Elephas maximus indicus: one gene and its partners. The protein of the gene in region 2 purifies or fractionates together with the protein of the main gene of each other region. This does not show direct contact. Links are inferred from orthologs where the notes say so. Each region holds a gene or a part of one and is shown on either strand. Other genes may lie near its edges.

The links.
Region 1: the proteins of NCL (region 2) and HSF1 purify together in Homo sapiens (affinity purification with mass spectrometry; 3 studies listed by BioGRID, with this or other methods). This does not show direct contact. The link is inferred for Elephas maximus indicus from reciprocal best matches to the Homo sapiens genes NCL and HSF1.
Region 3: the proteins of NCL (region 2) and NPM3 fractionate together in Homo sapiens (co-fractionation; 4 studies listed by BioGRID and IntAct, with this or other methods). This does not show direct contact. The link is inferred for Elephas maximus indicus from reciprocal best matches to the Homo sapiens genes NCL and NPM3.
Region 4: the proteins of NCL (region 2) and NAP1L4 fractionate together in Homo sapiens (co-fractionation; 3 studies listed by BioGRID). This does not show direct contact. The link is inferred for Elephas maximus indicus from reciprocal best matches to the Homo sapiens genes NCL and NAP1L4.

Annotation. Positions count from the first base shown.
Region 1 is NC_064833.1:674,128-682,058, reverse strand, and holds the start of HSF1 (heat shock factor protein 1), read left to right. Parts: upstream 1-4,914; 5' UTR 4,915-5,102; coding exon 5,103-5,219; intron 5,220-7,931. Other genes in the region: ribosome biogenesis protein BOP1, read right to left, coding at 1,530-1,709, 4,573-4,686. UniProt on the Homo sapiens protein: Functions as a stress-inducible and DNA-binding transcription factor that plays a central role in the transcriptional activation of the heat shock response (HSR), leading to the expression of a large class of molecular chaperones, heat shock proteins (HSPs), that protect cells from cellular insult damage.
Region 2 is NC_064824.1:133,752,385-133,759,966, forward strand, and holds the start of NCL (nucleolin), read right to left. Parts: upstream 3,008-7,582; 5' UTR 2,826-3,007; coding exon 2,808-2,825; intron 1,678-2,807; coding exon 1,552-1,677; intron 225-1,551; coding exon 1-224. UniProt on the Homo sapiens protein: Nucleolin is the major nucleolar protein of growing eukaryotic cells. It is found associated with intranucleolar chromatin and pre-ribosomal particles. It induces chromatin decondensation by binding to histone H1.
Region 3 is NC_064834.1:53,388,428-53,395,281, reverse strand, and holds NPM3 (nucleoplasmin-3), read left to right. Parts: upstream 1-3,942; 5' UTR 3,943-4,150; coding exon 4,151-4,271; intron 4,272-4,596; coding exon 4,597-4,682; intron 4,683-4,911; coding exon 4,912-5,031; intron 5,032-5,515; coding exon 5,516-5,609; intron 5,610-6,027; coding exon 6,028-6,143; 3' UTR 6,144-6,152; intron 6,153-6,247; 3' UTR 6,248-6,344; downstream 6,345-6,854. Other genes in the region: OGA (protein O-GlcNAcase), read left to right, coding at 385-521. UniProt on the Homo sapiens protein: Plays a role in the regulation of diverse cellular processes such as ribosome biogenesis, chromatin remodeling or protein chaperoning. Modulates the histone chaperone function and the RNA-binding activity of nucleolar phosphoprotein B23/NPM.
Region 4 is NC_064825.1:134,919,631-134,927,229, forward strand, and holds the start of NAP1L4 (nucleosome assembly protein 1-like 4), read left to right. Parts: upstream 1-4,595; 5' UTR 4,596-4,707; intron 4,708-7,599. UniProt on the Homo sapiens protein: Acts as a histone chaperone in nucleosome assembly.

The DNA of each region.
Region 1 (7,931 bases), on a different chromosome or scaffold from region 2:
CAAGCTCCGTGTAGCCCTGTGCAGCCCTTCCTGTCACCACTCAGGCCCACAGCGGAGGAGACCTGCCCTCCCCCTCAACCCTCACTGCGATATCATCTGAGATACCCAGACACGTCACCTGTTTTAGAGAATCCAGTGAAAGGAAAACAACTTAAATCTAAACAGGTGGATTTCTTCACTTAAAAAGCGGGGAGACTTGGAAATCAAAAACTATTAACTATTGTTATGGACTGAATTACGTCCTGTCCACAAAAAATACCGTGTTGTAAATCCTAACCTCTATGAGTTGAAATTGACTCAACGGCAAAGGCTTTGGTTTTTTCCGGGGTATGCCTGTGGTTATAATCCCATTGGGGAATGGGTTGTCTATGTTAACGAGACAGGATTAATTTAGAGTGTATCTTGAGTCAATCTCTTTTGAGAAATAGAAGAAAACAAAGGAGCAGAAGCTCAAGGAGACAAGGAGAGAAAGCCTTCCCCTAGAACCAGAACCCTGAATTCAGACTCCAGCCTATGAGAAAATAAATTTGTTAGAGCTACCCACGGTTACAGCAGCACTAGGTGACTGAGACAGCTGTACTCACCACCTGGGGCCAAGGGCACTGCAAGGGAACACACACTCATTACTGAACATGCTGACATATCATCAGACTTTTCTTCAGAGAGGGCAGATTTTGTACTTTTGAGAAGAGAGGGAAAGTTTCCCATGATCCTACAAGCCAAAACAGGCACAGTGCATGTGGCCCTTCCCAACGGGGATGACGTGCCCCGCGGCCATTCGCACCAGGGTCAGTGCAGGTCCCAAATGGCAGATGCTGAGGACGTGAACTGTGGCTCCATCTCGTCTTCCTTACCAAACAAATCAAACCCAGTTGAAACAACCACAGCATTCTTGGTGCTCTTACAGGAGTAGACTTCTGTGTAAGTCAAAGTCACGAATACCAGAACACCAGGGCTGTTTGAAGTACAAACTGGTGTAAACTAGTTTCTAGAACTTTTTAACATAGTCAGTTTGTATTTTGTTAAATTAAGCTTTTCTCCCACTTTCCTTAAATCAAGAGCAGGGATCAACCTTCCCCATCATCACAGTACCCGGCCCCGGTCCCCGCAGGGCTCCCATGGGTCAGCCAGGCTCCGTGCTCTCTTCCGTCGCCCAGGTGCTCCACCTACTCCTCATAAGTACCCTGGGCTGGGACACGGGCCTCACCCCAGGCTCTGCTAAGCTAAAGTCTGGCTGGGCCAGGAGAGTTCACCCTTGTCCTGTGGGGGTGACATAGTTTTTCCCCAGTGACTGACACCCACTGTGGCTGGAACCAGTGTTCTGGAGCCCAGCTACCCCAGCTACAAACAGGTGGCTGCACTTGGCACTAAAGGTGCCCCAGGGGCACTGAGGAAGGGGTGCCCACGGGGTTCCCGAGGGAGCTGTGGAGAAAGGCACAGCCTCTTGGTGAGCCCCAGGCCTGGCAGGCACTGCTTGCTCCTGGTTGCCTGGCTTCTGGGGAGGCCCACAGGAGGCCCTGCCCACCCACCTGTGACTGCTTCTCAATGGTCTTCCCCGTCCCGACATGACCTTCATCACTGTTGGCCCCATCCTCACTGTCGTTGTCACTGCCAGAATCTTCTAGGCCGGAGAACACGCTCTCCTCGCTGTTAGAGAGGCCAGAGTCACTGGTATCGATGTGACTAGGAGCAGGGCTGCAGAAAGAGGGCTGCAGGGAAGGAGAGTGTTGGTTCAGCTGGAGCTGCCTGCCCACCTGCCTGCCCACCTGCTTGCCCACAGGCCCTGTGCTGAACAGGGAGGCACAGCAGAGACCGGCTCCTCCAGGCGCCACCACAGCTCTGAGCAGCAGCAACCCTCCACCTCCACCCAAGCCATCCAGCCCAACCCAGACCTTTCCCATCTTCCACCTCCACTGACAGCATCGCCGTTCACCCTTGAATGGGCGTTTTACTTCCCAGTATCTCACAAGACACAGAGACTTTTCAAGGACACCATCCTCTTCTTAGAGTTTAGTTCTCACTGCCTTCCCAAAACCGGCTTTCCATGCCAACTGAAACCCCCCATGCCTCACCCTGATATTCGAGGTCCCCAGAGCCATGAGAGCACTACTAGGAAAGGGGCTGGGGACAGCAGAGAATTAGAATCCACGAGGGACTTTTACTACCCGAAGCAAAAGCCTCCTCATCGCATGAGATTGGGACAGCCAGTCAATCAGTAAACTGACAATGTTGGTTAAAGTCATTCATAAACGTGATGCAGTGTAGGGCCTGGCTCTCTGGGCCAAAGTCTGAGACTGAGGAGGCACAGTGGGCGATCCTGGCGTGGCCTTTACCAAAGGACAAGGACGCAAAGGCGCTTAGGAAGCAAACTGAATGCAGAATTCTGGATTCCCACCTTCTTCAACATTTCACAACCATCTCGCCTAATTGGACAGCCTGTGTTTATCAGCGGTCCCTAGCACTCAACTTCATCTTTGCCTATGCTCACCAGCTGTTTCTAGCATCAAACTTTGTTTTCACAGATATGACCCTCTCATACGCTCACACTATATCTCTGACGTTTTGATAGCTACACATCACAAAAGCAAGTAGAAATGGCATAAGCTGGTTTGGAAACAAACACGACAGAAACTCTTGATGAGTGCCCAGCCCAAGTGATGGCCGCAGCCACGACCAGAGTGGAGCACTGCCTGCTGGGGATGAGGGGTGGGCAGCAGCAGAGGCGGTGTAGGTGAATTTATCTCACAAAGAGGAGGGACAGCTCCCACCAATCCAGCTAAGTGGTGTCAGCTGTGAGAGGATCCAGCGGATGTGCCTCTGTGCTCCAGATGTGACGAAACCCCCAACCAAGCAGGATTGAGCTGGGAAGCAGAACCAGCAGTGCTAAGTGGGTTCAGTTAAAACAACGTGTCCAATGCAAGAGGCTCAAAGGCAGACTGTCCACTGGGCTCTAGTTACATTTCTGCGTTCTAACATCCTTTTCTCCTTGCTGTAATATATCTAACATATTAGCCTCATAATACAAACAAGTACTGCATAATTAAGCGTATATTGGAGGAGCAAGCTCAAGTGTTCTTTAAGTTTTCATTTATTGGTTCTTGTTGAGAACGTACACAGCAAAACACACCAATCCAACAGCTCTACAAGTACAATTTAGCAATGATGATTCCCTTTGAGTTGTGCAACTATTCTCACCCCCCTTTTCTGAGTGGTTACTCCTCATTAACACATTCTCACTGCTCCCTAAGGTTCCAATCTAATTCTCCAGTTGCTGTCGCCACTGTGGTCCCATATAAACAGTGCTAAAAAGACCATAATGCTCAAGGCAGACATTCTTTACTGGCTAAGCTAAACTACTGTTTCGTGTTAAGAAGACTTCAGAGAATATTTTTTATTTAAGGTTTAAAGATGATCTCAGGGCACCCTCTGTGACTCCAGGAAGTCTGGATTCCATGAGAATCTGAAATTCTGTTCTGCATTTCCCCCCTTTTATCAGGATTCTTCCACAAAATGTTTCATCAAAACATTCATTCACGGTAGCTGGGCACCATCCAGTTCTTCTGGTCTCATGGTAAAAGAGGCAGTTGTTCATGGGGGCAGTTAGCCACACGTTCCGTATCTTCCTCCTACTCCTGAATTTCCTTTTTCCTCTGTTGTTCCAGGTGAATGGAGACCAATTGTGCCTCAGATGGCAGCGTGCAAGCTTTTAAGACATCAGGCACTACACAGAGCGCCAGGCAATAGTACAGAAGCACTGAACAGTGACCTGGGATATGCCGTGAAACCATGAACCTCCAAACCAAGAAACCAAATCCCACGAGGTGTTGGTGCACAAGCAGTCTCAGCACTGCTCTCTGGTCCTTGTAGTTCAAATGTTCTTAATGACAGGGTGATGCCCTGCCCTCCATTCCCACCCTCTTCCCATTTCGCTCCTCCTTAGACACTGTTCTCCAACCCCACAGAAGTGCCCCTGATTCCAGACTGCCTAGACACCTCTGCCTGGACCCCTCCCCTGCCGCCGCCTCCACTAGAAGGCAAGGCCCGATTCCCACGGCACCTTTCCTAGATTCCTAGTTCCCCCACGCGACTCAATCCTCGCTCTCAGCTCCAGCCCGACACACACTTCGAGTGGGCTCTCCTAGCTGCGTGCCGGCGAGGTTTGCTTGAACAGCCATCAACAACAGGCCTCCACTAGGATGCCACCCGACACTAGGGCGGGAACGCCTGCGCCGCCTGTGAAATTAATGCCGAACCCCAGGTTGCTTAGGGAGGCGGCTGTCCCATCCTACCCGCCCTGGGCACGCCTGGAGCGGTCCCCTGCAAACAGCAGCCCGGCACCGATACCCTTTCGGTTAAAGGAAACCCCATCCCCGACCTTCACCTCCGAAGCCTCGCCAACTCTGACGCCTCCTCTCCGCCCAGCCACCGCGCGATGTGTCGCTGCCACAGCCACGGAGGATGCGCCCAGCAGCCTCGGGGCGCCCCGCACGTGCGGCCGCGTGGGCTCGGCCTCGCCCGCCCGCCGCCGCCCCGGCCCCAGCGCCCGCCGCCCCGGCCCGCGCCCGCTGTCACCTCCTCCTGCTCCCGCTCCGACTCCCGCTCGGGCTCCGGGTCTGGCTCCGCGGGCCGCTTCCCGGGCCGCGACTGCGTAGCCGCCCCACGTCGCGCGCCCCGCGCGCCCGCCATCCTCCGGTGAGCCTGCTCTGCTTAAACAGCCGCTTCCGGCAGCGACCCGCCGCGTGCGCCTGCGGGGCGTGGCAGCGGGGTCAGAGGGCGCGGCCGGCCCGCCCCGCCCCGCCTGCGTTGATTGGTGAACGGTGGCGGGGGGCGGGGCAGAGCCATCCCGCGCAGGCGCGTGGCGGCCGGGAAGGGGCCCAGAGCCGGGAGCGCGCGCGCGCCGGTGGGGACGCAGGCCGCCGGGCGGCGCCAGCGGGAGCGCGCCCGTCCCAAGATGGCGGCGGCCATGGTAGGCCCCGGGGCTGTGTGTGCGCAGCGGGAGGCTGCGGCGGCGCGGCGCTGGCTGCGGGTGCAGCGACGGCGCTAGCCCGTTCCTCGGCCTCTGCTCGCGGCCGCTGTCTCTGCCTCTCCCTGCCTTGTCCGAAATGGATCTGCCCGTGGGCCCCGGCGCGGCAGGGCCCAGCAACGTCCCGGCCTTCCTGACCAAGCTGTGGACCCTCGTGAGCGACCCGGACACCGACGCGCTCATCTGCTGGAGCCCGGTGAGGGGGCCGCCGGCCTGTCGGAGGGCGGGGAGGGAGCCCGCCGGGCGGCGGGAGGGCGGGTCCTGCCCCGCCGTGGGAGGGAGGCCGCTCCGGGAGGGGCGAGGGCCGCCCGCGAGTCCCGGTGGGAGCCCGGGAAGGCGGGGGCCAGGTTCCCGCCTCTCACCCCCCGTGGGCGGGGCGGGGAGCCAGCCAGCCAGCCACCGCCGTGGGGGCGCGAAGTTTTCAGGGGACGCCTCCCCGCTCGGTTCCAAGGCCTGCAGGTCTCGAGTTTGCCCCGTAGGAAAGGGAATTCCAAGACTCGGTCCGCTTTGAAGCATGTTTAGGGTCCTGGGGGTAACGGCCCTGCTCTTCCCACACCCCGACTTGGTTTCAGGGATTTTCAGCAGGTGAGGTGGCAGCCTCTAGCAACGCTGCTGTCCTCAGCCTCCTCCTCGTTCAGCTGCTGACCGGCTGAAGATTCTCCGGGACGGGAAGGGAAGGCTGGACCTTCTCGTTCTTTGCTCCTTTGCTAAGTGTTGGACAAGCGTGGAGATGTACTGTCCTTAGACCAAACGTCCAGTTTCTCTAACGAACATTGTGCCAAAGTGGTGATTTTTATCTCCAACGTGTTACTGCGGTGGTGTTACTCAGAGGCAAATCAGAACTTGGCACATGAATCGCAGGGCGCTGCTCTAGTGGAGAGGAAAGGGGATGAAAACAGAAAGTAAAACGTCATAAACTCAAGCTGATCTCCTGTGCGTTTCCGGATCCCAGAAGTGGGTTTCCTTAGAGCAGTTTTGTTTTTCGTTCCTGGTGGGGCATCTCTGTTCACGTCCTTGTAGTCCGTTGCCCGGCAGCAGGCTTGTTTACGCGACCTGACCCTGAAGTACCCGACAGCTCTGGTTTGTAGGAGTTAATCCGTGATTATGTCTGGAGTTGGCGTTCAGATGGCTGTTCACATCCTGGCTGTGACAGTGTGTCTGATGAGGGCCACAGACCCAGCTCAGGGCTGGGATGTGATTGGTGGCCTGAAGGAATGCACTTTTGGAGACACCATGTTAGGGCTGGGTGCTTCCAGCCATACTTAGACTTCCTGTGAGCTCACACATTGGAATTTCTCAGACTGCAACTATGGCCCTTTTGTAGGCCAGTTGCTTAAGCTTAGTTGCCATCAAGTGATTCCGACTGCCAGTGACTCCATGTGTGTCAGACTAGAACTGTGCTCCAAATGGTTTTCTGTGGCTGATTTTTCTGAAGTAGATTGCCAGGCCTTTCTGCTGAGGTATATCTGGGCAGACTTGAACCTCTGACCTTTTGCTTAGCAGGTGAATGTCTTAGCCATTTGCACCACCCGAGGACTCCTCCTTGAGCCAGTAGGAATGAAGAGAAGTCTGGGCTGAAGCTCTGCCTTGTCAGAGGGCATTTGGGGATAAAGAGAAGGGTAGAGCACTCACCCTGCACTCCCTCAAAGCGCTTTTCTGAGAAATTTTTGCCTCTGCTCCCTGCCATCTCCTGTGTGGGTATCCCCTACCCCACCCACCCACCCCCCCATCCCCTACCACCATTTCTTTAATGCCAGGTACAGGTCCCTGGAAGAGGCAGTGGGCTTCCCCCGCATGCTCTCTTCATGTTTCCGCCATCCCTTCCATCTAGACCTCAACCCTTCCTGGCCAGACAAGATGACCCAGTGCTTCTTTCTCCCTGACCCTCTCCTCCCACCTCTTGCTCATTCCCCTTAGCTCACAGGAGGGGGAGGGGTATTAGGGGGCTGATCCTAGAGGTTGCAGAGGCTGTGAGGCACCACATCTCAGGCCTCTGGGCCAGCACACTCTCTTCCGGGACCCTCTGTGTGTTCTGGGAAAGGCCTTTGCCTGGAGCATTGTACTTGGCTGGGTTTGCGGCCATCGTCCACCAGGCATAAGCCTGGGCAGGGTCCCCAGAGAGGCTTTGCTCTTGTATCACAGCCATCTGTGATCCCATCGATGGGGCGGGAGCCAGCCAGGGTGCAGGCGTGTGGTTCTCCCTGGTTAGCACGCAGCCTGAGTGGCTGGGGTCAGTGCAGGACACAATGGGGCTGGTGGTGACAGTGAGCCCCAAAACCCAGCTCTGGCAGAGAGAGGACTGCGGGCTACCTGGCCCTAGAAAGGAGGGGATGTTCCCATCCTGCAACATCTGAGGACACCCACCAAAGCCCTGCAGCCCCTCTTTCAGCTCAGCCCCAGTCCAGGACCCTGCAGATTCTGTCACCCAGAGCCCAGCCCCCAAAGGCCTCAGGGAGGCTGATGTTCGTGCCTGTGCTGGAAGCGTTCTCCCGCTCTGCCCAGAGGTGCTGGCAGGCAGGCGCAGTGCTCCCTTGTGTGACACGGGACGGGAACTAGAGGCCTAGTGAGAATAACTCACAAGACCGACCTGCATTTGCTGGGCCATCAGAGTGAGCACCTCCTTAAATGTTGTGCCCTGACAGGAGAGTGGGGACGCTGTGGTCCCCAGGGCATGGGCCCTTCCCAGAGTGCCCGTAGTGTCAGTCTTCAGAGGCCTTGCTCGGAGAGGTGCTGAGCCTCTGTGTGGACTTGGTCCTGTGGCTGGGCAGGAGTCAGGCCAGCCCAGGTATTCCCTGGGCAGTCACACCAGACTCCAGGAGTTGGCAGGAGCTGGACCATGGGGTGCACGGGCAGTCTCCCATCCGCCCCAGAACCCACCCAGCTTCAGGGCCAGGTCTGTTGGGTAGGG
Region 2 (7,582 bases):
GCCACTGCTGCTTTGCCCGGGGTGGCTCCCTTCTTGCCAGGTGTCGCTACTGCTTTGGCTGGTGTAACTGTCTTCTTGGCCGGCGTGGCTGCTGCTTTTTTGCCAGGGGTGACAGCTGCTTTCTTGGCCGGTGGGGCAGCTACCACCTTTTTTGTTGGGGAAACCACCACCTTCTTGGACGGTACCGCGGGATTCTTCTTGCCTTTTTTCTGAGGAATGATGACCTGAAGAAGAAAATTTAAGAAATCCTCTGGTACTGCCTCTAGTTTAAGATGACATGCATTAAAGCACTCATGAAAGTCTAGGGGCACACAGTATGCCCCTCTATTTACCTGAGAAATTACAACCCTCATCTTTCAATTTAGATAAAATACAGCTTTTAAACCCTGAAAACACAAGAATCCAGATCTCTGCATCTCATACTTTTATCCCAATTAACTGCTCCAGTTTTGCAGCTGTACAGCCTAAGAGAGTACCAACTCTGAAATCAGAGCTGGAATAGATCCCATCCATCAGAAGCTGTGCAGCCTTGGACAAATTTTAAAAAATATTAAGCATCAACTTCCTCATCTAAAAACTATAATATCAAACTTAAATGTTGTTCTAAAAATGAAATGAATCGATAGCTAAATTACTTACAGCCCTGTACACAAAAAGTTGTAAATATTTAAGTGCTATTATCTCCTTTGAGGATCCTGCAACGGTCAGTGTACGTACAGAGATCACTGAAAGCTCAGTTCTTCAAATAAGAGATTAAAAGCTCAACAGTAAGTAGGCTGGACAGTCAACCTTGGCAAAATTACCAAAGAACATGCATATCAACTGCCAGTAAACTGACGCTGTGCATGTTAAAAACGCTGGAAAGGTGAATACTGTTGCGTATATTAAAAACGTTGGGAGGGAGCAAGCTATTTTTTGATTATTAGTTTTATCACGTAGCGTGTGGGAAGAATAAAACCCTCTATAAATCTTAAAAGAAAAAAATCTGAGCACGAGCCCAATGGTTAGCTGTCCTTACAGTGAACAAAGAGTGGGCAGGAGTGTTAAAGAGGGTCAGCACTAAGACAAGTGGCAACCCTGAACACATACAGACAATAACACAATGCGATTGTTACAAAGCTTCTCCACAGTGAAATACAGATCAATTGATCCTGCTTAGAAGCTAGTCAAGAGATGTGATAAGGCTACAAGATGGACTCCTCAGACCTGAATATGATACTCAGTTCTGCCCACTGTCCAGGCTGTGGCCTTATTTAACGTATGCAGCTAAAATGTTAAAACTAGAAAAATGTAATTATTAAACACATCACACCTACCCCAAGAAAGGGCCAGCAAAAAGGCATCTGAGATCTTGTCAGGTCTCAAACTCATACTCAAATACTTACCCAAACTGCATCTTGATATGTCAAAGAAAAGCTTGGGAGACAACCATCATACAAGGCCACGTATGAATTAATATAAACCTTCAGTTTTGGTAGTATTTTCAAACACCTAACACCACCTCCCTGATTTTGTTTTAATGTCATTCCGTGTCAAATCACATATAATTACCTCTTCTCCACTGCTGTCTTCTTCTTCTTCTTCTTCATCTTCTGACATTTCCTCATCCTCACTATCTTCTTCTACCTCCTTAGGGGGAGGAGCCATTTTCTTGGGGTCACCTTGATTTTTACCGGCCTAAAATGGACACAACTATTAGCACACCACATTTGCACCAGTATTTCAAGCCATTTATGTTTTGCCATTAGTCTACGTAGTAAAATGCAGTTCTTTCTTCCTCAGAATCCAGTTTCCATGCCGCTAAATACCATTAACATGCAAACTAGTCTTAATATACAACTTAAGACAGCATTTTCAACCTACCTGTATTTTTCCTGTCAGTCTGTACAGCTACAAAATCAAGCCTAGAATAACAGGTCAAAAAAACGATCTCCCTCTTCCTGTCGCCTTTCCGAACCACGGCTGTTTTAAAAACATTATCCCCTAACTATTAAATATTGCTCTGAGTGTTTTTTAATATACAATACCTTGCGCCAGGCCCACTGCGCAACCAACAATTCATAATCCTTTACCCTTGGGAAACTACCCTCGAAAAGCCTTTGATAAATTCTGGGCACGTGGTCCGAATTCAAATTAAAAACCACGATCTTTCAGTCACCTTTTAACACTTGTGGTCTTTTTAACAGTGTTCCCTTCCCGGAGAAACCCCCCAACTTTCAGAGCCCAGCGGGCCACGTGGGGGTGTCTCCCAGGCCACCATGTGCACGCAGAAACACGCGGAGGCGGCGTCTCCATCCGGGGCTCACCACGTGCCAGCTCGCCGCGCGGGGACCCCGTAGGCCGCCGGACGTCTGCCTTAACCCCACCCCGCCGCTGCCCCCGGCCCGCGGCCCCACGGCTCTCCGCTAGAACACGGCCCTCTCCGGAGCCGCAGGGACCCACGCGGCGCGGCCCACGTGGCAGGCCGCGCGCCGGGGCACGTGCGTCAGGAGGCGGGGCCAGCTCGCGCGCGTCGCGGGCTCCGGCCTCACCCCTCCACCCGGGGCCCCGCGCCCCTTCCCGCGCGCAGCCCCGAAGTCTCTCTCCGCCGTGCCCACCGCCCCCTGCACCTGCAGGCGCTCTTCACCGCGTCTCCATGTCGCCAAAACCCGCGAGACCCGCCCGCTTCTCGCGCGAGACTTCCGTCAGCATGGCGAACCTCGAACGCGCCCGGGACGGCGCGCAGGCCCTCCTCCTCGCGGCGCCGCGCGCGCGCTCCTCGGGAAGCAGGCCCCGACGCCCGGCCTTGCGCCTGCAAGGCCGCTTACCTTCGCGAGCTTCACCATGATGGCGGCTTGTGACGACGGAGTGTGTGGAGAGTGAGTGGCGCAGATGAGCCTAGAAGAACCCAAGCGACGTCGATGGCGGCCGCGAGTGCTGAAGAGCCTGGAGCGCGCACGCTTCGCTGCCAGCTAGGGCTCGAGACTGAGGCAAAAGACGGAGCCTACCCAGTAATCGCCTCTGGAAAGGCGACGACGGCGCCCTCGTGACCCCGCCTTGGCCAATCAGAGCGCGCGTCCATCCCGCGAGCCAATCGCGAGCCCCTCCCCGAGAACGGCGCGGGGCGGGAGTGGGCGGGCCAAGGCGGCGGGGGATGGGAGGGAGGCTTGGTGTCGGCACCTGGGGGCGGGCTTGGCTTTGTGCGAAGCCTGCGCTGATTGGGCGGTGGCTGCGCGGCCCCGGGTGCTCCTGCGCTGCCTGCCTTATGGCGCCTGCGCCGTAAGACGGACATTTTGGCGCCGGGTGGGCCCGGGCTTGGGGCGGGCGGGGGCTGGCGGTCTGCAGCTCCCGAATGAGCCCTATCGCCTCGGGCGGCCTTTGCGGGTCCTGCGGTGCCCCACGCGCGGCTCTGGTCCGCACTCCACGCTGAGACTCCCGGCGGCCGTGGGGAGGATTTCGGCCCATTTAACTGCTGATGAGCCCGAGCCCGCCCAAAGTTTAGGGACCAGGGTTCACTTTGCCCCTTTCGGTGCCCACCTTAGCCCCGTCCATCCACGAACCAGGGACCAGAAACATCTCCCTGGGCACAGGTGACACGCTCCCAGGCCGTGGGCCTGAAGCTGTCCCCTGAGAACTGTTAATAAAGAGGCTTACCGTGTTCAGGCTCTGCTGATAAGCGCACAGACATCTCATTTAATCCCACAGCCTCATGCGGTAGGTATTTCCCTCCCCACGGGGATCAGACTCGTAAGCTTCTGGCCGTCTCAGGGTTTACCGCTGGGATCGGCAGATGAACCTGGGTCAGCAGACTGCAGCTGGGTCTTTGACCACCTCAGAAGTTCCCCCCTTGTTATTTGGGGCTAATACCAGTACCATGGCGACCCCACGTGTGTCAGCGTAGCACAGTGCTCCACAGGGTTTTTAATGGCTGATTTTTCAGTAGTACATTAAAAAAAAAAAAAAAAATTTTTTTTTTTTTTTTTTTTTATAGTACATTGCCAGGTCTTAATTCCAAGGCGTCTCTAGATGGTCTCAAACCTCCAAGCTTTTAGTTAGTAACCGTTTGCACCACCCATAAACCGGTAGACCGTGCGTTGACTCATGGCGACCCCACTGGGCTCCGTAGGGTTTTCAGTGGCTGGTTTTTCTAGATTGCCAGGCCTTTCTTCCCAGATGCCTCTAGGTGGACTTCAAGCGCCATTAAAATGTTACAGATGGGTGGCCCTTGGCACTAGATGGCCCAGGAGTAGATGAAAGCCGAAGGAAAAGTTACCTCTATGGCGGAAGCACAGAAAATTGTCTTTGTACAGTGATTTTGCCAATTATTTGAGTGGGTTACTTTGTGGGTGAAAATTTATAGTTGGTGCCAAATTTAACAAACCACAGCACTTGGCTTTAGTTTAGAACCTTCCCAGGATCTATCCTGGGCCTCTGGTACCTAAATGTTCCTAATCTGGACACCTTCAGCCTTGATGCTGTTTCCCACACGGAACTGATACGAAAGTTCACCCTTGGAAGATGGATAGTTGTGATGGTTCGCAACATGCTGGATGTAGTTAATGTCACCGAATTCTACACATGGAAATAGTTTCAATGGCAAACTTTTTATTATATATATTTTACCACAACAAAATTATAAAGAAAGAATCTCCCCTGGGATGCTATAATTCAAGAGGGATGCTATAATTCAAGAGGTCTAGGTTAGGGCCCTGGGTTTTGAATTTTAACAAGGGCCCATGGGGATTCTTGTGAGCAATCAAGTTATTTTGCAGTTTTTTCTGGCACACTTCTGAAACCCAGTGAATAGGAAACTCTCTGGGCTCTCTGGTGTGGGCAAGGGGCTGGGGCCAGGTCTGTACCCTGGACTCTGATGGCCTGTGGAGACCCCCTGAGGATAGTCACACTCAGGTCTCTAGGGAAGAGGGCAAATAGGTTACTAAGTGGCCGCCCAGGCAAAAAGAACAGCATGAGCCAAGGCATAAGACTTTTTAATGAGACCCTCGGTGTTTCCAGTGATTTTGACACAGAGGACACTTGGCACTTGTGGGAAGAGGTTCTAGAGATTAAGGGGGCATGACCAAGTGACAAGGACAAATTCTAGAAATATGGCATGGCTGGCTCCTTGTCATTCAGATCTGTTTATATGTCCTCCCTAGAGGCCTTCCGCTGGCCTCCAGTGTAAAGTTGTTGTTAGCCAACTCATGGCGACCTAAGCACAATGGAATGAAATACTGCCCAGCTCTTTGCCATCCGCATGATACGTTGCGGATCAGATCCCAATGTAAAGTCCCACTCAGAAACTCACATCACCCCTACTGAATCCTTTGCAGGTACTTATTGCTATGTGATATTTTTCTTGTCTGCTTACTGTCTGTCTCCACCCCCACATTAGAATACATATATTGTTCTCTACTGTATTCCTGGTGCCCAGAACATTGCCTGGCACGCAATAATGTTGAAAATTACTTGTTAAATGAATGACGGAATTGAACTACAGGTAGTCCCCAACTTATGACAGGGTTCCATTCTGACTGCTACTCCCCTCGTAAGTCGGTTCTGGCATAAGTCGAACACTTCATTTTTTTTTTTTTTTTTAGTTTTCATTATTATTGCCTTTTATTATCAGTATCTTTATAAATCTCATCTTTATTTGTCTTTGGGATTTGGAAACATTACATCTGAGAATATCAGCAAATTATATGCTGCCACATTTTATGTAGTATATATTAATAACAATACATGCACACAGCCTGTTGCTGTCGAGTTGATGCCGACTCATAGCTACCCCGTAGAAGAGTAGAACTGCCCCATAGGGTTTCCAAGAACTGGCTGGTGGATTTGAATCACCAGGGCTCCTAATAACAATATTTTCTTAATAACAATAAGATATACAAAAAAAAAAAGTGTAAAGCCTGTGTAAGTTTCACTGTAACGCAAATATATCGTAAGTTGGGGACTACTTGTATTTAGGTAGAATAAGCAGCAGAGAGAGCCAGTATAGCTTACGGTGGGTTCAAGTGTGTTACTTTGAGTCTCACAGTCCAGGGTAGAAAAATAGTAATACTGAGTACTTACTACATACGGAAACCCTGATGGCGTAGTGGTTAAGAGCTATGGCCGCTAACCAAAAGGTCGGCAGTTTGAATCCACCAGGTGCTCCTTAGAAACAGTATAGGGCAGTTCTCTGTTCTGTAGGGTCACTAGGAGTTGGAATCGACTCAACGGTACATTCGTATACATGCGTACTTATATATATGTATTTAAAAAAAAAAAAGTTGCCATAAAGCAGATTCTGAGTCATGACGACCCCATGTGTTGCAAACTAGAAATGTGCATAGGGTTTTTAATGGCTGTGTCCTTTTGAAAGTAGATTGCCAGGCCTTTCTTCCCAGGTGCCTCTGGGTGGATTCAAACTGCCCATTTTCCAGTTAGCAGCCAAGGACTCAACAGTTTGCCCCGCCCAGGGACTCCAGAGTACTTACATAGTAAAACCTGTGAAAGCCAGAACCTGTGTGAGGCAGAAACTTGTCAGAGAAGGAAAACTCAAATATTGTCCACTAAGAGAGCAATGAAAAAGTGGTAAGATTGCACCATGTCTGTCTTAGTCATCTGGTGCTGCTATAACATGAATACCACAAGTGAATGGTTTTAACAAAGAGAAATTTATTCTCTCACTGTCTAACAGGCTACAAATCCAAATTCAGGGTGTCAGCTCCAAAGGAAGCCTTTCTCTCTGTGTTCGTTCTGGAGGAAGGTCCTTCTTGTCAATCCTCCCCTGGACTAGGAACTTCTCTGCACAGGAACACCAGGTCCAAAGAAGCACTCTGCTCCCGGTGCTTCTTTCTTGGTGTTATGACATCCTCTCCCCCCCATCTTCTGGCGTCCCTTTCCTTTTTATCTCTTGAAAGATAAAAGGTGGTGCAGACCACACCCCTGGGAAACTCCCTTTACCTTGGATCAAGGATGTGACCTAGTAAGGTGTTACAATCTCACTCTAATCCCCTTTAACATAAAATTACAATCACAAAATGGAGGACAACCACAGAATATTGGGAATCATGGCATAACCAAGTTGACACATATATTGGGGGGACACAATTCAATCCTTGATACTGTCAAAGGGGGAAAACTTGGGAGACCCTGAAAACCAAGGCAGTGCTGTGGAGTTCTAGCTCTCACAGGTCTTACTGTATAGTGCTGGCTAAGTGCCCAGTGCTCTTCCAGTGCTCTATATGCTAACTCATTTAATCTTTGAAACAACCTTTGAAAAAGGGGTAGCCATCATCAGTGCCCATGGAAGCAGCAGTCAAGAAATGAAACAACATGTTGCATTGGGCAAATCTGTGGCAAAAGATCTTTTCACCAAAATCTTAAAAAGTAAAGATGTCATTTTGACAACTAAGGTGGGCCTGACCCAAGCCATGACCTTTTCAATCGCCTCACATGCATGTGAAAACTGAACAATGAAAAAGGAAGACCAAAGAAAAATTGACAGATTTGACTTGTGTTGGTGAAGAATATTGAAGATATAATGGACTGCCAGAAGAACAAACAAATCCATCTTGGAAGAGGTACAGCCAGAGTGCTCCTTCGAAGCAAGGAT
Region 3 (6,854 bases), on a different chromosome or scaffold from region 2:
ACCTTTATATGTTTTGAACTGAGGTGTTCTTTGCCTTGAAATTTCTTACACCCTCTTCCCTGAGAGATTTTTTTTCTGGGGAAGAGATTCAGTCACTATTGAATGTTAAACCCACTGACCCATTGCTGTCGACTCAAATCCCGACTCAGTGACCCTATAGGACAGAGTAGAACTGCTCCATAGGGTTTTCAAGGCTGTAGATGTTTACGGAAACAGATTGCCACATCTTTGTCCTGTGGAACAGCTGGTAGATTGGATCCGCCAACATTTTGGTTAGCAGCTAAGCACTTAACCACTGCACCGGAAAGATTAATCCCAATTCATACCCACAGTTCTACTAATTAAGTGACTTATTTACGTTTTGAATATTTGTTCTATTTCTAGGCTCTCGGGGGGCTTTCTGTGAAGTGAGACCAGATGATAAAAGAATTCTGGAATTTTACAGCAAGTTAGGCTGCTTTGAAATTGCAAAAATGGAAGGCTTTCCAAAGGATGTGGTTATACTTGGCCGGAGCCTGTGACGTTTATTGGCATTGTGAACTGTCCAAAGTCTCCTAACTACCTGGTGGGTGGTGGTTGGGGTCTTCATACAGTTCAGCTTATGGAGTGGCAACAGATCAGCTAATTGGATAGGAAACAAAGAAGACTATGTAAAACTGATCCATCACACATTCAGAATACTCACTGGTTGGAAGAAGGTAGTATTGCTGCAAACCCTGTATGAAACAGGTGTGGGCCTCCTTTTTGGGTCTTACGTTAGGTGCCAAGACCTCTTACATGGGCTTATAGCGAAGGGGTCTTCAATAAATGTAGTCAGCACTGTGTTCTGAATCCAGTGTGGTTGCATTTCTCACCTAAGAGTAATCAAAATCATTTCTGTCATCTTCTTTGGTTTATTGAATGAAATGTTTCATTCTTTGGGGACATGGCAGAGATGAGAAAGATTTAATGGGTTTTGGAGGCTTCAGGGTGGAGATTCCAAAGTGGGATGGTTGTGGCATTAGTTTAAGCTGAATAAATGATTTCAGTTTTGGGCAGTTTTTTTGCTTTTTGTAAAGCCGTAGCCAGTTGTCTCCTGTAGCGACCTTTGGTTTAGGCATGTTGTGCTTTGTAGGGACAAATGTGCAGTTGTGGCAAAAGCCTCAAAATGACAAACTTGTAAATTTCTTTGTATATAAACTAGCTGTAACCTGATTATTCTTGTGTTTACTGTTTTTGTAATTTTTTTTTTTTTTCTTTAAAAAATGAGAAGGTGTTAGTTCAGGATGGCACTTTGAATAATGTAAATCATAGTGGAAAATGGATTTGCTTCTATCTTTGTGGTTTTTTTGTTTTTTTTTTTTGAAGAAGTTTTTTTATTTTTAAAGTGCCTCCCACCTAGGGCTAGGCTATGACCATTTGGGGTACGAGAGCCTAACTTCTGTAAGTAGGACTCAGTCTGTTGCAGAGTACAGTCACTTTGGGAAATTAACAATAGCAGGTCAGCATGTGAAATGTTAGTTTTGACACCTGTCAAGTAGGGTTCAGGGACTAATTGGTCTCATTTCCTTCAGATCAGTTGTCCTTTAATTTCAGGACCTGTTAGTACTGGTTTTATTAAATCAGAGTCTTTAATTCTTGCATGTTTGTATCTAATTTTTAAAAGAAAGAATGAGTACATTTTAACCAATGCTTTATGGTTACTTTTTTTTTCCCCCTCTTTAACCACCAATTCTGAAAGCTTCATGTATTTTAATTTGGACTTGATGTTTTTAAGGGGCCTGAGCATGAGGCTGGCAGGTAATCTCCACGGGAATCATTTTTTCATCATGGCTGGCTGACTTCTTCATAGATTCGTGAAAGCATTATGTTATTTTGCTTCCCTACAGTTTTGCATCAGCTGTTCAGCTTTGAGCTGAGTGAGGCAGGAGGGGCAAGAAGAAGGAAAAGTGAAATATTTTCCTTCATAGAACTCCCATCAGTGTGGGCTTTGAGAGAGTCTTAAAGTTTTATACCAAGTTTGACTTCAACCAAGGCATGAGAGTGCATTAAATGGGTGAGAAGGGAAGGGAAGGGAAGGAAGGAGTCCTCTTCATTTTCAGAGTAGAAACCTTTACCTAATAGAAAGATAAGGTATGTTGGAAAGCAAGAACCAAGTTTGCTTTTTTGAGGGCTGAGAGGAAGTGAAAGGGGAATATACCTGCTAGATATTGTTTCCAACAGCTGAATATCACTCAGTTTTCCTTTTGAGTGTATTTCATACACTAGTGGACAACACTAGCATTTTATCTGGAGGATTTTAGGGTCAGCCTCCTGTGGAATCAGGATTTTTATCAAGTTTGCTTTGGCTTTATCTTGGCTTTCAATAATCATTTTGGCCAGTATTCTGGTCACAGATGCTGAACTGTGAAACAGATGTCCAGGCCTAAACCTTCATCACTGTAGGATAGTAAAAGTGCTATGCTGACATCTTCCATGGTTATGCGTTTTTACTAAGGTTGGAATGACACTTTATTGTTCAGAGCACATCTCGGTTTCTGTAGCAAACAAACTGTAAAACTATCTGAAGACCATGCAAGAGGCAAAATAAAACTTGAAGTAAACGTGTGTAGTGTTGTGTTGTGTGAATCATGTTCCTGTTTCTGCCTCCTACCTTTTTTCAGGTCCTTCACACCTTGCCTACAAGCAGGCATTACTTATTTCCACAGCTGTTTGAAGTTTGGGCCTAGATCTTGAAGGCAGTTTTCCCCACTGCTGCCTGTCTAAAGGGTTTCCTTCCAGATTATCATCAAGGCAGGGGCACAAGCCTAAAAAAGCAGACCAGTTCCTGGCCAAGTCACCTCTTGCCACAGTTGTAACCTGGGTGTAAAATAGGAAAGCTAGTTTGAAAGATTATCTGCCATCTAATAGGGTAGGGAATGCAGAATTCGCCTGATTCTTGCTCAAAAGGTGAAAGATAGGGTCGGGTGGGGGGAGTAACCCAAATTGTGTGAGGTTGGGAAGAATCCAAGGAGGAAGGATGTGCTTGGGCTATTTTGGAATCAAATTCAAAGACGGTGTAAAGGGTGGTTCTGTCAGAGCAAGCAGTGGGTCCCACATCTGAGCTAACTTGTGCTGTACTAGCAAGGCAAGCATATGATGCTCAAAGAAGACAGTTGAGGGAGGCAAGTGTGCTACAGGAAGGTGTCATTTGGGCAGGAAGCGTATCTTGGAGATGCTTAGGCTAGGAAGATGGAGGAGTTGGGGTGAGTTTGAGTGGAAATAACCTGGAATGGAAAGTCTTCAGGCTCCTTGGCTTCTCTTGGGTCAAAAGTTACGCCAAGCATGAAGCTGTTAAGTGCATATCCTTTTGTAAGAACTCAGGCTGCCCTGAAACCTGCCTATGCTAGGGAAGGGAGTAGGAAAGGCTTACCTCCGTTCCTCAACAAATCTTACTCTGGGTTGGAAGAGTGGGCAACTATAGAGGGTGCTAGGAGTAGTCAAAAAATCAAACGACATATTGCATTGGGCAAATCTGCAAAAGACCTCTTTAAGTGTTAAAAAGCAGAAGTGTCGCTTTGAGGACTAAGGTGTGCTTGACCCAAGCCGTGGTATTTTCAGTTGCATCATATGCATACCGAAAGTTGGACAATGAATAAGGAAGAAAGAAGCATTGATGTCTTTAAATTAGGGTGTTGGCAAAGAATAGTGAATATACGACAGCCAGAAGAATCAACAAATATTGGAAGAAGTACAACCAGAATGCTCTTTAGAAAGCAAGGATGGCGAGACTTTGTCTCACGTACTTTGGATATGTCAGGAGGGATCAGTCCTTCGAGAAGGACATCATGCTTGATAGAGGGTCGCTATGAGTCGGAACCCACTTGACAGCACCCAACAACAAGGGGCTGAAGAAAAGGGAGGCAGAAGATGCTTTCACAGAGCCTTGATCGTGGAAATAAGCAAGGACGTTAACAGTAACCCCAAATCCATGCTTCTGTAATGTTACGCCCTTTCTTTGCGGTCTTGACACAGGTCTGAGCAGAAGCCTCCTGGGCGGGAAGCCAGGCACCGGTCCCACCTCGGTCCATTCTCAGTCTGGGAGTCTCCTTTAAGAGGCGGGGCCGGAACTGGCCGTGTGTCACTGGCTTTGTACGTGTCGGAGGCGGAGTTTCAAGAAGGTTCTTGCAGCATGGCCGCCGCCACCGCCGCCGCCGCCTTAGCGTTCCTGAGCCGGGAAAGCCGAGCCCGGGCGGGGGGTATCGGAGGCCTGCGCGTCCCGGCCCCAGTCACTATGGACAGTTTTTTCTTCGGTATTGGGGAAAGGAAGGGATGGGGGTGGAGCTGAGGCGGCCTAGGTAAACGGCGGGGATGAGGCACAGGAATCCGTTTGGGTGCACGACGTGGGTGGGGATGGAGGGACTCCGTCGCCGACCTTGACGACAGCGGGCCCCGCGCGCCGACGCTCGAGCGGAAGAAGACGGCGGGCCCTGAACCCAGTGGGGAGCGCCCCAGGTGTTTCTAAGAAGGGACGTTTGGTGGGCGTGTAACGTGCCGGTCAGTCGATGGTTGCACGTGACGGGGGCTTGGTGAAATGTTCCCGCCCCACGCGCACACTTCCACTGTTCTTTCTCCCAGGTTGTGAGCTCTCTGGGCGCACCCGCTCCTTCACCTTCAAGGTAGAGGAAGAGGATGATGCCGAGCACGTGCTGGCCTTGACCATGGTGAGGGAAAGGCAGGAGGTAGGGGGCGGCGGGTACAGCGAAGACTAGCTCAGCTTAGGCAAGCCTCTCCCTCCTCCACTTTACTGGGAGTCACCTCCTCTGCTTCACCCCCACATGGGCAACTCCGTCGGCAAGGTTATCCAGGCACCTTTGAGTTTGAGCAAGTTCTAGGGCAGATGGCTCCACCTCAAGCCTTGCAAGACGTAGAAGCCCTGTGTACCTTTCCCAGCTCTGCCTCACCGAGGGGGCCAAGGATGAATGTAATGTGGTGGAAGTTGTAGCACGAAACCACGACCATCAGGAGATTGCAGTCCCTGTGGCAAACTTGAAGTTGTCCTGCCAACCCATGGTGAGTTCTTAAGCCATACTTGGGGGCAGGGGCGAACTAGCCAATAGGCAAAGTAAGCATGGTGTTTATCATGCTTAGCACATCATCTGTAGTGAATAATTTCACATTTTTCACCACATCAGTGATTTTGCTTCTAGATATGGCTGGCATCTGTCTCTCTTTCAACCCCACAGCACCTTCTTAGAGAATCAAAGCCTCTCTTTAAATTTGCAATCCCTGACAGGGGTGAATGACCCAGCAAGCAAGGTAAGCACGGGCTTACTTGTGCTGACTTAATAGTCTACAGTGAAAAGTTTCACATGTGGTATGTTCACTACAGATGATCTGGTAAGCAAGGCAAGTGCTGTGCTTATCTTATTGGATAATCCACCCCTGCCTGGGGGGGTGGGAGTGGGGGTTGGCTGGAGATTGAAAGCTTTGGGACTCACTACCAGACAGGGTGAGGACTGGAAGGGGTCAAGCCTTTATCGTTTTCTTCCTCCAGCTCAGCCTCGATGACTTCCAGCTCCAACCACCTGTAACCTTCCGCCTAAAGTCAGGCTCTGGCCCTGTGCGAATCACTGGGCGGCACCAGATTGGTGAGAGTGAGGGGAGGGCCTTCTCCTTTGCCTCCAGTCCACTCCAGGCCTCCCCACACTCCTGCCCCATTTCCACTTCATTGCGCAGTGCAGTCTCTATACAGACCCTACATGCTCCCCTTCCCTAGGCTATGCCCCTTGCATCATGTATCCTCTACTCTTCTGCTCAAGCCCACCTCCTTCATGGAACCTGGCCCAGCTTCTCCTGCTCCATTGATGTGTACTCCTGTAGCTCTTTGGCACCCAACTGGTGGCTAAGACTCATTCCAACTAGACTATAAGCTATGGGCGGTCAGGGTTCCTGTAAGCCTAGCACCACAAGGCCTATAATTAAGAATTGCCCAATAAATGATGTGGTGTGAAGGAGGAATGGCTTCAGCCTTCCTCCCGTCCCCCTTATTGCTTGTGTGTCTACCAGTTACTATAAGCAATGATGTTTCTGAGGAGGAGGAGAGCGAGGAAGAAGACAGTGAGGAGGAGGAAGCTGAGTTGTGCCCTGTCTTGCCTGCCAAGAAGCAAGGGGGCAGGCCCTAGCCCACCTTGGTGAGTCAGGGACGGAGCAGGGAGGTGTGGGCTGGGGAGGAGGCAAGAGGAGCAGGTAGGGGTCTAGATGCTGAGCCCTTATCTGCTCTCCTCAGGTCAGCTAGCAGCCTGTGACTTGTGCCATGCACCATGTTCCTGGACAAGTCTCAAGAATTTGAAATGTTTCTTCTCTGTTGAAGAGGGGGGTTTGGGGCAGGGGGTGGTGGGTGCTTGGGTTGGTGCTAGGAGAAAAGGGGGCCCATTTTACTTAGGGTCCTGTTGTAGACCTAGCCATGTCTGGGGCTTTCCTTTTCTCTAGGGGTGGGAGGAATTTGGGACTTCTGACCCTCTCTCCCACCCACCTTCCCATGAAGATTGGAGGTCAGTAGTTGAAGCTCAGGACTACGCATTTTTACCCCTTTTTATATTTTTGGATAAAGGTTGAAATAAAATAGCATGAGTTTTTTTGCAAATCATGAGTGGCTTCTTCCTGTGCTGGGATGACATTCCCCTAGGGACCACCAGGTGGCACTGTGGCAGCATCGAGGGTGGCCCTGAGCCTCGGAGAGTATAGGGAAATGTGGGATCCTGGTATCCCTGGGGCCTGGGCTCCAACTCTCTTGCTGGAAGGGGACCTCCCAACACCTAGACCTTTACCAGCCCTGTGGGTGGGGGAGGGCCATTCCAGGAGGTTATCAGTGTCCAAACAAGGGGTCTGGGCCT
Region 4 (7,599 bases), on a different chromosome or scaffold from region 2:
TCATTTTGGAGTCACCCCCTCTGACAGTGTCACCTGGTGTGGTCTACACCCCTATGCCCCATAGTGACTCCCCTGGGACAGGGCCATGGATGACCATGGGCCAGGGAGACGGCACTCCATTTTCTGGTGGCTGCCAGTGATCTTTGGCATCTTTTGCAGCTTATGAATATATCTGCCTCCGTCGTCACATGGCGTCTGTCTTCCTTCTGTATGTGACCCTATCTCCACGTCTGTTCTCTCAGGACCCTCCAGTCATAGAGGGCCAGGACCCACCCTACTGTGGTATGACCTCATTAACGGACCACATCTGCAAAGACCCTGTTCTCCAAATATGGTCACATTTACAGGTGCAGGGTTAGGACTTCAACGTTTCTTCTGCGGGACACAGTTCAACCCACACAGACAGGTCCTTTGCAGGTTCCAGAGGGCTGCTCCATGTGAGGCCGATGCCTGGGTTCTCATGTCTGTTTCTGCTTGTCATAGGCTGGGTTTTCTAGAGAAGCAAAACCAGTAAAGCGCATAAATATACATAGAGAGAGATTTGTATCAAGGAAACGGCTCACGGGGTTGTAGAGGCTGGAACATCCCAAGTCTGCAGGTCAGGATAGAGACGTCTCCTGATCCAAGTAGCCGCAGGGACTGTTGAACCCAAGATTGGCAGATCAGAGTGCAGGGTTCTTGCTCACAGGCCGGGAACATCAATGAATCCCAGGATCGGGAGGCAAGACTGCAGGTAAGCTGCTTGTTCAAGTCCCAAGAACCGGAGGTCAGATGAACAGGACCCAGCCGCAGGATCCAGAGCAAGCAGACCCTGAGCCCTGCCAGAATGTTCGCTTATATTCAGTGCAGGCCACACGCCCAAGAAAACTCCCTTCCAACTGATTAGCTATTCACAGCAGATCCCATCATGGCGGTGACCACATATCAAATCTCAACGGGGAAGTGATCACAACATTACATGACTGCCAAAACACTGAGAATCATGGCCCAGCCAAGTTGACACATGATCTTAACCATCACACTGCTGAAGGACCAAGACCACTGAGAGGTGCCAGACCCAGGCCAGGAGGACTCAGGGTGGTGTCAGGGCATCCTGCTGACAGCCACTCTGATCCTGGTCTGGAGCAGGGCACCCGCATCTCATTCCTGCCTGCAGGGGAGGGTGCTGAGACTCTGCCTGCCCCTTCCCACTGTGAATCTCTGTCCCTGCTACCTGCTCTGGCCTCACCTCCCTGGAGGGCTCCCCAGAGGGCTCTCTTTAGGTACACACACCACCCTGAGCTATCTGTGTTTCCTGGGGTGTACTGTGCTGCTCCCTCCCCCCAGGCCTCCACAGGTGCCTGGCCCTAAACACTGCGCCTTCCCTGGCCCTGCTGGGCCTCTCCTCCTGGTTCTCAGTGTCAGCGAGAACATCACTTCCTCCGGAAGCTGGCCAAGGCTCTCCTGCTAGTGGTGGGGCAGGGGCAATCATCGGTGAACAGGGGCCAAGAAAGCAGCAGGCAGGGGGATGTGGCCATAGCTGGGAGGGGCCGGGAGGGCCTCTGAGGGGAGATGGCCATCCAGCTGGACCCCAGTGGCAGGAGGAAGGGACGATGTGGGCTCAGAGAATGTTGATACCATTCATAATCCCAAAAGGTGCATGCTCAGGCTCATGGGGCCTTCCTTCAAACCCACAAGGGCTGGGGGCATGGACCCCTGCAGCCTGGACACCGAGACCTTCCCACCCCCACCCGGGCTGGTCTGCTCTCTCCAGGGAGCACAAGGGCACAAACACACCCAGGGCTCTGCCCCTCTGGCTCCAGGAATGCCCTTGGCTGGGCAGGCCCTGGTAGTCTCTGCTCCTGCCGCACAGGTCAACCCTGGACAGCACTGGTCCTGAACAGAGAGCTTGAGGGGCGCCATCCAGGCTGAGAGTCACATGGCACTGGCTTGAGCAGGGCCTCGGAGCTGGTTTAGAGAAAGACCCGGCTGTAGCCCTGACCTCAAGCCTGTGCTCTCGGTGCTTAGCCCCCTTCTCTCACTTCCTCTTTCCAGGCCACCCACAGAGGCGGCGAGATACTGACAACAGCCCATACCCCCATCACACTGACCACTGGTTCAATGTTGTTCTAACTCTCTCCCACCCGCAAAGCTCAGTGTTGTTGCTGTCAGATCGGCTCTGACTCATGGTACCCCCACGCACAACAGACTGAAACATTGCCTGGTCCTGTGCCATCTTCAAGATCACTGGTACGCTGGAGTCCATTGCTGCAGCCACTGTGTATCGTGAGGGCCTCCCAGCCGAGGAGCTCATCTTCCAGCTCTGGATTGGACAATATTCTGCTGTGATCCATAAGGCTTTTATTGGCTAATTTTCAGAAGTAGATCACCAGGCCTTTCCTCCTGGTCTGTCTTACTCTGTCAACTTCGCTGAAACCTGCCCACCTGGTGGCATAGCTTCCAGCATCTCAGCAACATGAAAGCCACCACAGTATGACAGACTGACAGATGGGTGGGTGGTGAAGTAGGCAGTGCCCCCATTTTATAACTGCCTCAGCCTGCACAGGACACTACAACAGAGAGCTTCAAACCTCTGGAGTGACCCCAGGGAGAAGCCCCTACTCACAGCTGCTCCACTTACAGAATCCCCAAGGAACAGGCCCAGCTGCCCATGTGAGCCCCCTTACCCTGGCTCCCACCGGCTCCGAGGGCCAGCTCCGAGGTGGCTCTAACCACCTCGATGCCTCCACGCCCTCACGGCTTCTTTGGGGATCATCACCCACCACCGCCTCCCCCCAAAATTCAGGCTCAGACAGACCTGAAGGCTTTAAATGGATTTGAAATTTTATTCAATAGAAGGAAACTTGAAAAGGCTTAGGTTCTTTTCTTTTGTAGTTTCCTCAGCTGTTTATGCTTTTTTTTCCCCAAAAAAGTAAAGTAGGGTTATTTCAGACAAGTCAGAAAATCCAAATAAGGCAGATAGGAATTGGGACACTCCCCCTCCACCCCCAACACTCAGAACAGCTGAGCCAAGCTCACATGTGTGGTCACACCAAAGGCAGGAGCTGGTCACTCTGAGGTTTTTAACCTACATCATGTCCTTAACAACCTCCCAACTCAGAGCCTTTACAGGGTCTCTTCTTTTTCCCTGTTGTAAACAGCACAGGTTAGGAAAGATTTGGTGAAAAAAAAGGAGGAAAAAAATTCATTTTTTTTTTTTTCCAAAGCAACCCCACCCAAGGAAAAATTTCTGGAAAGATGGGCAAGAATAGTTAAAGACCCACAGCCACACTGGAGAGCCCAGAGATGAGGAGATAAGCCAGTCGCAAGCAAATAGTTGGCAGCTGGGACTTACATTTTCCAACCACATCGTCATCCTGCCCACGTTGGTTTTAGCTCAGTGTTTCTCCACAAACTGTGATTCTGAGAGTGTGGGGTTCGTGACCCCAGTCCCAACCCAGCCACAGGCTGGAGAGAACTGGATAGGGCAAGGTGAGGAGGGTCACCCCTACCTATACCCCACAGCTTCCTGGAGCGCCAGGGGCCCCTCAGAGAGCCCACCTCGCTTTGCTCTGGTAGGCTGTGCCCTGGGGGGGGGGGCAGGCTGTGCCCTGGGGGGGGGGGCAGGCTGTGCCCTGGGGGGGGGGCAGGCTGTGCCCTGGGGGGGGGCAGGCTGTGCCCTGGGGGGGGCAGGCTGTGCCCTGGGGGGGGGCAGGCTGTGCCCTGGGGGGGGCAGGCTGTGCCCTGGGGGGGGGCAGGCTGTGCCCTGGGGGGGCAGGCTGTGCCCGGGGGGGGGTAGGCTGTGCCCAGGAGCCCAAAGCACAAGAGGGGTTGGGGTGCAGACCGCCCCCCACCCCCAACACGAAGTAGGCAGTCCCCACTGTTGCAGGTGCAGAATGGGCCTCCACCCGGCCTGGGGTCCCGCAGGAGGTGACCTGTCGCCTGGGCCCTGAACGGTAACTGGACCCCAAGAATGGAGTGATGAGACAGGGTCCCGGGGGAAGGGGACGCCCCCTGCGGAGCTCTGACGGCGGGATGAGCCAGGCGACTACAGGAAGGGGCTGCACGAGCAGGGGCGCGGGGGAGGGGGCGGAATCACGAGCTAGGAGGCCGGGTGGAAACACGTGGGGAGGGACAGGGTGGGCGGCAGATCCGAGGGATGGCGGCGGCGGAGGGCGGCGCGGTAGGGCGCGGGCCCACGGGGCGCGGACCACGTGTGACGGGTGGACGCCATCCCGTTTTCTGGGAGGGGCGGTGCCAGTCCCGTGAAAGGGGCGGGAGAGGCGTCGGAGCGCGGGCTGCGCACGGGCGGAGCAGGACGCCCGGTGGAGCCGCCCGAGGAGGTGGAGGCCCGGGGGCGCCCCAGCCGCCCACGTGCTCCGCGGCGCCGACACTTTAAACCGGCGAGAGGAGCGCCGCGCGCGGCCGGGGCGCGGTCACGCGTCTCATTTGCATACGGCTCGCGCAGTCCAAGCGCGGCGCCCGCTCTGCCGCCTCTGATTGGTCTCCTTCGGCCTCGCCGAGGTGCGGTTGACATGCGCAGCTCTGGCCCAATCGCAGCCCGTCTTGCTTCTGGAGGGAGGTGCCCGGGTGGCGGTTCGGCCAATGGGGCGCTGCGTTATTGGCGGCCACGGCGGCGCTGCAGCCGGAGCGAGAGGAGCCGCCGCAGCCGCCGCCACTGCCGCAGAAGGCGTGAGGTGTGGAGCCGCGGGGTGCGGGCCTGGCCGGGTAACGGTGCTGCCGGGGGCGGGAGCCGGCAGGGCGGCGGGCGGGAGAAGGGCGCGGCGGGCCGGCCGCGGGCGCCGTCTGTGGGGGCCGCGCGGCTCGGGGCCAGGGGCGGGGCCCGCGGCCTCCTGCCTGGAGGCGGCCGCGGCCGAGCGCCGCCGGGACCGCGGGCCGGGCCTCCCCTCCCCCGCCGCCGCCGGCCCTGAAGGTCAGCGGCCTGGTCGTCTGGCTCCGGCCGGGTCCGCGGTGGCCGCGCGGCTCCCGCTCCGCCGACGGTGCCCTTGGGGAAGGTGAGGGCCTCGGGGCCGCTTCCCGCCCGGAGCTGGTGCGGTCAAATCTCCCGCCAGCGCGGCCGCCTCACGTGCCGGCCCCGAGGCCGGGCGGGGCCGGGCAGCGGCTCGAGGCTCCCCGGCGGTCGAGAGGCCGCGTTCGGGACTTCGCTTCCCGAGCGTGGGCTTCCCCGCGGGCTGGTGCGGCCCGGGCCCGGGTGGCTGGAGGCGGGCTAACGGCGGAGCTTCGTTTCCGAGCGCCTGGTGGGCTGGGGCCGCTCGACGACAGGCGCAGATCTCGGTGGTGTTGGTCAGCTGCCGCGGGGAGCTGGGCGGCAGAAACGGGGTGCTGGGCGGCAGAAACGGGGTGCTGGGCAACACGTGCTCTGCTGGGAAGGCCGCGGGCTCAGGCGCCTTAGGCGGGTGCCCCGAGGACGGTCGGTGGCGCTTCAGTTACCCCGGCATCGCAGGCGTCAGGTCTGCTTTAGGGGTTGAACCCATCCTTTAGGAGAGAAGATGTTTCCTCCCGAGGAAAAGAGGAGGAGTCGAGCAAGGCTTAGACGCCCTGGATGGGAAGGTTCCACTTGCCGTGCACAGAGGGTCTGGGAATGACTCTGACGTTGCCCAAAGGGGGTTAGTACTACACAGGTGTATGTTTTTACCGATTAAGTAACTTTTTTTTTTTTTTAAATAATCTCTTCCTTTTTTTATTGAGTGCTTCCTGTTCACGGCAGCCAAGGATTGCCTGGTTGGGACGAGGTCTTCCTTCCACCTTCCATCCTTCTCCTTAACTCGGCAGTAGCATCGCAAGTCTGATCGAGATAAGGGAGGCGGAGGTGCTTAGTGTCAGAAATTTTCATTCCCGCATTCAAAACCTTCAGACCCCCCGAATTGTGCCACTTGACATGTGTGGGTGAATGTTCATGTGTCTGGCAAGAAGGTCCATCGTTCTCTCCCCGATCTCAAAGGACTCTGTGATCCAACGTAGCTTAGGACGTATCTGGCCAGGCTTTGGGTCACCTACCCACGCCGAGTCACTTTCCCAGCTTCACAGCCCTAGGAGTCTCTTTTCATCTGCCTGTACTTAGTGTACTGTGTAGAAACAGGCTTGTGGAAACTTCTGTATTAAAGCTGAACGGGTACACAGGGTAAGTTCTTAGCTCTGCTGTTTAGGAGGTATTTTAAAGTTACTGCCCTTGACGTAGTGATAACTTCTCATGACTAGTGTTTATCATATGCCAGGGGCTGCTCTCCACTCTTTTGCATGTTAGTTCATTTCCTAGTGGCCTGTAAGATGGCTTCTATTTTTTTTCCTGTTCAATTAACCAGTGAGGTTAGGTTTAGTGACTTGTCCAAGTTGAGAGACCTTGGATTAATACCCAGGCAATTTTTCTCCAGAAGCTGTGTTTGATCTCACCTGGATACCTCCACTGGGTTTGTTGAGTTTCGATTTTTAACTTTGCCCAGATGTACCGCTTTCCTAAAGGGAAGGAAAGGCGTTTTAATGGAGAATTAGGTCCCCATTGGTGAGCTAAACCTAACTGAAGCCTGGATTATGAGGATTTGCGCTGGTTCTTGTTTTCCAGAAAGATCCACAGAGTACGAAATGCTTCCCGTGGTAGAATCTGGAGATTTCAGATTGGGATTAGCAGTTGTTAGAGGAATAACTGATAGGCAAATGTAAAATGAACTTCAAAGGAGGGAAGGACAGTGGTGATAAAGTAGGGAAATATTCCAAAGATTAAGTGAGTGACTAAAAATAAAGACCGGGGAGATGGTTTAAAAATCAGTTATCTAGCTCACTTGTTGAAGTGGAGTTGGGAAGAGAAAGAAGCCCTAGAAAATGAGTTTCCTCAGTTTATTAGCTGCTTCCTTGTTTGGGGACTAGAAAAAGACTTTCATTTTTTGGAGGTAAATTACCCTATTTTTCTGAGATTTGAGAGAATCTTAAAAGTAATACCTTTTTGGTCAGTAAAAACGCTACTGCAAAAGTTAAACTTGTATAGAATTATAGTGACAAAAAGGGACTCGTTTTACAGATGAAACAGGTATAGGGAGTGCAGCCTTCTCAAGTTTGCCTGGGGGCATTTTCACCAGAATCTTAAGGCCTCTTCTCATGGTACGATTTTATGAATTGTTTGAGCGTTGCCCTGCCGAGTTCAGTAGTTCCTGTGCCATAGGGTGTTTGCAGCCTGTTTTTTCCTAGTTGATCGGTGTTACTGATGCGGAGTGTCAGCAGGTTATCTCCACGAGCGTATCACGAGATGGCATCTGAACACATCTGCTCTACATTTTGTCTTACAAGCCTTGAGCCCTGCACTGTTTTTCATAACTCATACAGAGTAACGATTGGGAAATTGAATTCCTTGTCAGAGCTGATTTGACCATTCTCAGGTTTGATACGCTCATTACGCTGAATCCTGAAAAGGATTTTTAATACTAGTAAGTGGTCCTCTGAAAACGTGGAGGGCATTTTGATTTTGCGAACTGGCCATTTAGATTATCAGATTCTCTAGTGTTTTGAGCTTAGAGATTTTTATCTGTGTGAGTTAGTTCATGCTTCTGTGGAGATATTTTCAAGATAGAATGTGTTTAGCACCACATTGCAGCCTGGAGTTTGTACTTG